2 linked regions of the Caenorhabditis elegans genome follow. The protein of the gene in region 2 interacts with the protein of the main gene of each other region in a pairwise test. Each region holds a gene or a part of one and is shown on either strand. Other genes may lie near its edges. The genes, in order: let-60 and W05B10.4.

What was found.
Region 1: the proteins of W05B10.4 (region 2) and let-60 interact in a two-hybrid assay, tested with the Caenorhabditis elegans proteins (3 studies listed by BioGRID).

What each region holds. Positions count from the first base shown.
Region 1 is NC_003282.8:11,687,462-11,692,827, reverse strand, and holds let-60 (Ras protein let-60), read left to right. Parts: upstream 1-1,739; 5' UTR 1,740-1,750; coding exon 1,751-1,879; intron 1,880-2,574; coding exon 2,575-2,769; intron 2,770-2,826; coding exon 2,827-2,997; intron 2,998-3,722; coding exon 3,723-3,782; 3' UTR 3,783-4,601; downstream 4,602-5,366. Other genes in the region: ZK792.5 (Nucleolar protein 9), read left to right, coding at 4,711-5,001. UniProt on the Caenorhabditis elegans protein: GTP-binding protein with GTPase activity. The level of let-60 controls the switch between vulval and hypodermal cell fates during C.elegans vulval induction. May stimulate the guanine nucleotide exchange factor (GEF) activity of rap-1.
Region 2 is NC_003283.11:12,666,211-12,670,463, forward strand, and holds W05B10.4 (Ras-associating domain-containing protein), read left to right. Parts: upstream 1-2,015; 5' UTR 2,016-2,020; coding exon 2,021-2,096; intron 2,097-2,639; coding exon 2,640-2,776; intron 2,777-2,838; coding exon 2,839-3,393; 3' UTR 3,394-3,479; downstream 3,480-4,253.

The sequences.
Region 1 (5,366 bases), on a different chromosome or scaffold from region 2:
GAAATAGTTTTTTTTTTTCAAAAAGAGACCACCGCCTTTGCTAGAAACGAAAATTGCATGCGTTCCATTAAATAATTCAATTCATCGTTATCACCATCCTTCGTCGTCGTCGTTATCGTCAGAAACAGATAGGGATGGGTCGATACAAAAAGAAAGTGGACAGTTCTTTTCTCTCACTCTTTTTCTCTTTTACAAATCACACTTGTTTCGTCTCACACACGCTCACTTCTTGTCTCTTCTCCCAACAGTCGTCGCAAAACCGTCAAAAGCGTAGCGGCTGTCGCGTCGCGGTCGTTCGTGTCTATGCATCACCGTTTCTAGTGCTCTCTAATTGTCCCGCCGTAGCAGTAGCAGCAGTAGCAGCGGCATGGTGGGGACCGCACTCCTTTATCTTTTACTCTTACTTTGTGTGTGTGTATGGGGGGTGCGAGAGAAAGAGATAAAAAAGAAAGAAAGAGAGAGTGTGTGGTTTCTGTGCTTCTGTGCACTCCAGAGCCTCGGATTTCTTTTCCTATGAACTTCATTTCTCGTCTCCATCATCAGAAGGAAGAAGAATTCTTCAGAATCTTGCACTTGAAGCGTTTTCTGCCTATTTATTTTCTCCTCCCGAGTTCATCTCTCTATTCGTCTTTAGCTTAATCCATTTTATTAGGCACGCACCCGCTCCTTGGTTCAACCAAATGAGAAGATAGAAAAGATGGAGCAACGCATCCCAAATTGTGTGATAGGATTAAAGTAGTGTGGAAGAAAAAAAAATGCAGAGTGAGAGAAGGGGCAGTCTTCTTTTCCGGTCTTACTAATCCTAACGTCTTCTTTTTCCTTCCTATCTCTCATCTCTCAACTTCTGAAATAGTTGAGATGAGTGATTTCGTAAGTTCATTATTCTTTTTTGTCAGTTTTTGCTTATAGTTCCTACGGGAATCATTGTTTCTTAAACATGCTACTTCTTTAAACAATTTATATTTAACAAAGTAAAATTGAACGTTTTTTTAAAAACTTTCTAACTGAATTTCGTAAATTTATTTGTTTCCTTGTGAAAAATGCTTGTCAGGAAAACTTTACTTCTCTACGTCTCAATCTCTGCAATCTTTTAACGAGAGATCGGAGAATTTTGTATTGGAAAAGTGAAAAAGAAAAATGAAAGAGACCCACTCGACACTGAGGGCGACCGAAAAGAAACCGACGAAAAAAAACGACGATTCGAGCCATTTGTCAGCGACAATAAGTGGTCGGGTCGCACCACTGTCCGCCGTCTCACCGATTTTAACATTATATTGTCCCCCTTTTTCTTCATCGCTTTGAAATCAATTTTTGATGAAGTGAAGACCTTTTTTCTCCTGGTTTTTTTTTTAATAATTGCATTACCCCATTTTTTAAAGTTCAAAATTACTCAAACTATTTGAATTCTTCTTTTTTTCAAATTGTAATGACTCATTCTCCGTCGTCTTCAAATAGTTACTCATTCCGACTCACCACCTAGTTTATTAACAGGAAAGTTCATTCTTTTTCTATCTTCTCAATTATTCTCAAGTAGTCATCATCGGTTTTTTATTTCTTTCCTGGTAGTTACTCTCCTTTATCGAAACTTTTTTTTGAAAAAAAAAAGAAACGGAATTCTGAGTATGCCGATAGGCAGAGCTGCTCTTTGGCAGTGCTCCCACAGAAATCCTTCTCCACTTCGTTTTCTCATTTCCATCTCTATTTTACATTTTTCCATATTCAACTATGCGTCTTTTTTCAGAAAAGGGTAATGACGGAGTACAAGCTTGTGGTAGTTGGAGATGGAGGAGTTGGTAAATCAGCACTCACCATTCAACTCATCCAGAATCACTTTGTCGAAGAATACGACCCGACCATAGAGGACAGCTACAGAAAGCAGGTGAGAAATCATTGGGAACATCCGCTACACACATGTGGTGGGAGCAAATTGAACGAAAATGATGGCATTTGAAATTGAACAAAAAAACGATGAGTCAGAAGTTTGGAAGTTTTTTGAAACACATCGAGCTGTTTAATTGATTCCAAAGACGAATAAATCGTGCTGAAACACGAAAAATTCCGAAATTTTCGAAAAAAAACCAATTTTTCGTGTTTTGGACACGACATTATAAAATGGCTGGAACTGAAAAAAATGGCTCGAATCATGATTTTTCATTGTCCCCCGAAAATTCTCACAAAAAAAAATTGGAAAACCGAAAATTTTAGTTTTTGCAAAAACCGGAAAAATTCTGAAAACACTCCAAAATCGATATTTCTCAGACGAATTTCAATAATTACATTCCGTTTTACGTTTTATACAAAAAACAGAAATTTCACTTTTTTTTTGAGAAAGGGCCCAAAACTTTTTTTTAGATTTTTTGTTTTTTTAAAGCAAATCGATAAACCAGCATGCCTGCTCGTGTCGTGTGAGGAGTATAAATTTTTTTAAACGTATATTCATCTTTAAACTCTGAAATTCAGAATATTATTGAGCCCTAATTTTCAGTGTTTTCATTTGAGTTTTTAACCAGTAAAAATAGTTTTTCAGTTTTAAAAATTGCTCCGAGAGCTAGTTTTTAAATATTCTAATTTCAGGTTGTGATAGACGGTGAGACATGCCTCCTCGACATATTGGATACCGCCGGACAAGAAGAATATTCGGCGATGCGTGATCAGTACATGAGGACAGGCGAAGGATTTCTGTTGGTTTTCGCCGTCAACGAGGCTAAATCTTTCGAGAATGTCGCTAACTACCGCGAGCAGATTCGGAGGGTAAAGGATTCAGATGATGTGAGTTTTTTTTGTTGAAATTATCAGTCAATGGTTGAATATTTGTATTTCTTCTAGGTTCCTATGGTCTTGGTAGGGAATAAATGTGATTTGTCATCTCGATCAGTCGACTTCCGAACAGTCAGTGAGACAGCAAAGGGTTACGGTATTCCGAATGTCGACACATCTGCCAAAACGCGTATGGGAGTTGATGAAGCATTTTACACACTTGTTAGAGAAATTCGCAAGGTAATTTTTTAGTTAAAAATTTAAATTAAAAATAATGTTTTTAATGTACAATTAAGGTACAAATTCAGTCATTATTATATGAAAATTGAAAGACGCGAGATTTTGATATTTTCGCGCCAAAAATACGACACCCGGTCTGTTCGATTTGCTCCTTCAAATATTATGGTAACTTTATACTGTCGTTACAGCGGAATTTTCATCAATTTTTTTAAGTTTTCGATATTATAAAAATATTTAAAAACACAGCAGTTTTAATAAATCGGTGAAAATTACCCCAGAAACGAAATATTAAAGTTACTGTATTCTTTAAAGGCGCACATACGTTTGCATTTAACACAAATTCATCGTGTCGAGACCGGGCACCGCATCTTTAATTTGAAAATCGCCAAATGTTGCATTTGAGTAATACAAAAACGTTGTTTTTAAAAATTTTCTGTTTTGTAAAGCTCTAAAATGTTATTATTGTTATCAACAGTTTCAAGTTTCCATTTTTCACTAAAAACGAAAAATGTAAGTTTTTCCGATATTTCGAAACAAAAGCTCAAAGTTTTGGTCATTTTCTTAATTTTTAAAGAAAATTATATGTTTTCTTTTGTTTTTTTTCTCACCAGCATGCACAAAATCTGATAAAAAATTGAGTTTTATTGTTAATTTTCTAAAAAAAATTTTGATGACACCCTAGATTGATATCCGAAAGATTTAATAATGTTTTCTTTTTATTTCAGCATCGTGAGCGTCACGACAATAATAAGCCACAAAAGAAGAAGAAGTGTCAAATAATGTGATTCAGCGTCGGGAATTGCCCAATTTCGCCAACTCATTTTCAGTCGTGTCAACTCCCACCCAATTATCCTTTCTCGTACTTTTTTGGTACATTTTCATTATTCATTTATCTGTTTTATCTGAAACTTGTGATCGATCCTCTTCCGCCTCTACATACTCTTCGAATTTCCACCTTTTTTTCTCTATGCATCGATTGAACTTGTTCTCTCGTCTGCTCGTCATTATTTTTTCTCCTTTTTTTTCTTCATCCTTCATTCTAATTCCTCATCTTTCGCTTAGCCCAAATCTCCATTCATTCATAGGTGTCAAAACTAGCTGTAGTGTGTGATCCATATCTAAAACATGCATCCGAACCCCCTCCTCGTTCCAAAATTGGCCAACTCTACCAAAAAAAACATCGCACCATTTTTTTTTCACTTTCTCTGCATATTTTCAGAATGTTTGTATTGCTTTTTTGATGCTTTATTCCCCTTCCTCGTTTTCATACAAATTATTGGCCTCATCTATTTTCAGAAGTTCTCTGAAAATTAAATTCTTTTGCATCTGCCGGTCGTTCCGTTTATTTTTTCTCTGTTTCCTCTCATTTTTGTCAAGTAATTATTTCTCTTTCATTAACTATAATATAGATACAATTAGACCCCATTTCTCATACATTTTCTGAACATCTGAAAGTTTTTGCTCCCTCGTATTGCATTCATTTTTCTCTATTCCTCTACATTTTATAGTCCTATCTGAATATAATATTCCTATTCTTTTGATCAAGTTTTTATTATTATTTTATTTTCAAGGAAGTATTGCAATGATATAAATTTTAAAAAGCTAATATTATTTTTTTAAATCTATTCAACTATATTTTGTTAATTTCAGTGTTATATTTTGACCTCGCCATCGGAGCATGATTTTAAAAAAAACTAAATTTAATTTATTAGAATGACGAGAAAAAGGAAAAATGTAGAGTCTGATGAGAATCCTCCAGCGAAAAACTCATTTGAAGGATACGGATATGCTGCTGCTGATGCTGAGAAGAAGCCACAGGAGGAGAGAAACAATTTCAGAACTTTTCTAGCCAAAAATGAACGATTTGGAAGTGGAAATCGAGGTGGAGGAGGTCGTGGAAGAGGAGGAGATGGTGGATTTAGAAGAAATGATAGAGGTGGACGTGGTGGTGGTGGAAGAGGATTCGGTGGTAACAGAGAATTCAGTGCCGGAGATTTTGAGAAGGTTTGTGTCAGATGGTGTCGTGAGTGATGTAGCGTCTCTGGCTTTTTAAACTCAAAATTACAGAAAAAGTTTCGATATGTCGAGTTAAAAACATTTCTAAAATTTGTATTATTTTGCAAAAAATAAAAAAAAGCCGAATTATTTTTGAATTTTTTAGTCATTTTCCTGGACAAAAATTGTTCAAAATGTGGAATTATAGGTTTTAGACCAATTTCATTTTATCGAATTTCGTTCGGATTTTCGAGGTTTCTTTCCGAAAAACTGTCTGAAAAAATGAGCGCGGGAATTCACAAATATTTCAGTATTTTTTTGAAATTGAATTTTAAAAAATTTATATTCGATATATTGAGACTTTTTTCTGTGAA
Region 2 (4,253 bases):
AAAATTGGAACTTTCATGGTAGGCAAAATCGTCTTCAGTGAGTGCCTGCCTCATGCCTACCGACGCTTATTTCCTGCACGGTTATTAGGACAGTAGGCACATATATGAGATATGAGACAGGGAGTCGGTTTTAGTTTTTAAGTTGATGGGGTCAGCTTGTTTTTTTTATTTATTCGAAAGTTTTATTCTAATTGTAAATTGAATAGTTTTCATATTCAAAGTGTATAGATTTTAATCCATTTATGAATCATTAAAAAAATTGTTGCATATTTTTGCAAGTTTTTCATTCTAAAATCATGCTTCAACATTTTGCATCGTTCTTCATTGCGTAACCCAGACGAAGCCCCAAAAAACTCCTTTTTTCTTCTGGGATTATTCACTGTCACCTTCTTAAAAACGGCGCCTTCGATTATTTCCAGCTTATCCGATTTCACTTCTCATAAGTACTTCTACCTTCAGTTTCTTCATTTTTTTTGTTTTTTGAATCCCTTCAGACTTTTCCCTAGTGTTTTTTCATATTGATTCTGTACATCAACTCGTCTCTAATCGAATCAGGCGGATAGATCAAGGAATGTGGGCATGAGGGAGAATAGTATGCCAAAAATTAATTGAAACTCTCAATGTTCCGCCCACTTTTTGTTTAATGGAAGAAGTATCGCCAAAGTTAAAATCGAAAAAAAGTGTTTCAAGGTGAATAATGTCGTGGAAGCAACATTTGGGTTTTCGAAACGCTAGTTTGTACAACTATTGGTTAGAAAATCCAGAAACTTCAATTTCACTTTAAACGACAATATTTAATTTTTCTTCAGAGCTAGATCCATTGAAAGGACAGACAGCTGCAATATTAACGACGATAATAAATAAACAATAAAAATTGAGTTGCCCACGACAATTGTAGAAAATCGAAAAAATTAGGCTCTTGAAAATACGTCTGACTGTTTTCTTCCCATACCAAAACTTTTGAAATTATTTTTTGACAAAAAACCAGATTTTAGACAAATTCAGACAATGTTTTTTGTTTTTTTAAGTAAATTTCTTTGTTGGATTCAATGCAAAAATTTCAATACAATTTTCAATGCAAAAACTCAAAAAAGTTTTCACTGTTAGACTTTTAAAGGCAACCTTAAAAGTGACAAACTCAAGAAAAATCAATGTTATGCTCGGCCCAAATTATGTTTTTTTGGGTTTTTTGTTGGTTTTTTCTTGCACTTCTCGTAATTTTCTACTACAGGTACTTTACAAAAAAGTTTAGGACTAAAAATCCCACACTTTACAGGCCACATTCAGAAAAATGAATCTTTAGTCCATGTTCCATCTGATAGTATTTCCGACAACTTTCTCGAGACCTATCATCTTTTTTGTATTTCAAATGATCCTCCAAGATTCAATTGCTAACTTCCGGTCCATTACAGTTGTACAACTTTTTGATAAACATTTCATCTTTTTTGGCAACTAATTTGATGATAGTATTGTACTTGTATTTTACTCGTCTTACGTGTCTGATAACACCAATCAAATCTAAATAGCAATCTCCGACCGTAGGAACCAGTTGATTGACTCTTGCCTCGGAACTATCATTTTTCTTTCTTCTTCCGCTACCATTATATGTAATGATATCCTTATATTATCCATAATATATTCCTCATTTCCTCATTAGTGATCCAATTGAATGCGAACGCAAGTCGGTGAATAAAGAAAGAACAAATAAAACAAATATATTAATGATTTTCTCTTTATCCACATTCCCGGACACCGCGTGCCAAATCACTGATAATATCTCCATTTTCCTCTCTCCAGGCTACGGCTTGATCAAATACTTTTCTTCGTTTGAAAACGGTCATTCACACTCACTCACACACCCATATCGTTTACCCGTTTTGTGTATTGCCAACTACCGCACCCATATCTTCATACTTTTCCTCTTTTTCGCTTTTCCTGTTCGTATGTACATACCTTTGTACTATTTTCTTATACAAGGCTAACATTATTGAATTATACGGTTTTTTTTGTTTCAGAAAAAATGCTCAAGTACCAAGTGAAATCGTCCACTTTGACGTTGCGGCCTGCCAATCGGGCATCGAGAACGTCTTCGTCAAGTGAGTTTTTTTTGATTAAACTCGAGACCTACTTGAAGTGTTGCACTTATATTTCGTAAAATATGTTCATAATTTCTATTTGATATGAATGAATAATATTTGACTGCGTTTCCAGACGCTTGAACCCTTTTTAAGTGATTAAACTTTTCAGTAATGTAAAATCCTATAGGATCTTAAATGAGAGATTGAATTACCTACAATGACTAATTAATTCCCATGATAATAGATTTTTGGGTATTAAATACTTTTACGTAACACTAAGAAGATTTACAAAACTTTATTAACTTCTACTAGAATCATTTCCAATAGTTTACACAAGAAATTTAAATTTAACATTTTTTCTCGGATGTTTTACGTTTCTACAGTACTCAATGAAATCGATGAGATCAAGTTTACTTTTTCGAACGAAACTCAAACAATTGAGCTTTCAAAATTTGATCTTCCGAAGATCGCTTGCAAACATCAAACCTATTAAATAAAGTTTTAGGTTTGAACTAGATTTTAGTTGATTCTTTTTCAAAAAAATTTTGTTTTCAATTTTAGATTCATCCTCTCCTTGCTCAATTTCTATGCATTCTCTTCTTGATGATACTCTTCTCGGGATTCCAACAACTTCTCGAAGCAATTCACTTCTTTCCCTTAACTCAACTGATAGTAATATTTCGGATTCTTCAGATGTGGTGAGTAAAAAAACATCAGGCACCATTCAAATATATCATTCAATAATTTTGACTATTTTCAGGGAGTCCTAAAAGTTGATACGCGGAGTGTTAAACAATGTACCGATTACAAGACAATCCGAGTTACTAATTCAACAACAGCACGCCAAGTCGTTGAAAAATTTCTGACAACTCTCAAGCTCACTTGCCGAGATATAAACATGTTCGAACTTTGGATGGAGCTCACAACAAGAGCTTCGGGAGCTCCTGTTGTCACACTTCTAAAACTGGATCCTGAATCTCGACCATATGAACTTCAAAGATGCCATCCAATCGGAATGTCTCGTTTCATACTTCTTCAAAGTCCAACAGGATATCTCGTCAGAGTTCATGATCATAATATTTCTCCTCAATCTAACTACAAGTCATTGCTCCTTTCATCTCAAACAACAGTTCTTGAAGCTATTCATATTGTTCTCGGCTTAAATCGAAAATATGATGATATCTCAAAGTATGGACTATTCTTAGCAACACCTGGAGGAGATGCTCAAATTCCAGAAGATGTTTCATTAGTTTCTATTGCAAGACTTTGTCAACCGAATCAAAAAATCATTATCAGAAATGTTGATGTATTCTAATTTTTGCATGTACTCTGAACATTGGTACATATGTATTATATTTAATGCTTTAAATTCGTGGTATCTTATAAACATTTTTTAAATAACTCTTTGTCTCTTAATGAAAATCGTCGTTCAAAAAAAAGTTCCCTTCGAATTTTATAATCTACTAAAAAAAGGTAAAGGTTATTTGAACGCGATAGTGGTATACATTTCTCAAAAAGTGGCGAAAAATCAGTATTTTTTGTTTTAAATCTCTCATCAACTCAAATAAAATTTTATTAAACCGAGCAATGAAATATCAAAAGATATTATTGTTTTCTCATCCTGGCATTCTGGCATTTCGGAAAACATGCTCAAGAAAACATACATTGTCTTTAATCTAGTAGATCAGCAGTAGGTGCCTCGTATAACCAATTTATTTATTCTTAGAAAACTTGGATTCTTGAACCTTAAACTAATTTTATTGGCGTTACACCAAAAACTAATAAGTGATATGCTGTAGCTACAAACCCCAAGTAAAACATACATATTATTTCTGATTTTTGTTTTGTAAGATTAAGTTCCTTTTCGTTGTGATGAATTCATTCCAATATTTGATAGACTGTTATAGAATCAGATGTCTGGAAATATATGTAATTAAATTTCCAATTTCCTGTTGGTCGTATGATTTGATTTTTAACAACAAATTTACCTAGACGTTAGAAAAAGTTCAGATATTTATTTTTCTACGAAAGCTGAAAGTTAGCTATTACGTATTTAGTAAGATATATAAATTTCTGTTTAAAATATGGTTTCACATTGTTTTGAAATAGGTATGAATATTTAAACTAATTTTTTTATCAATTTTTTTAAACATCGGTTTTTTTTTTTAATTTTTG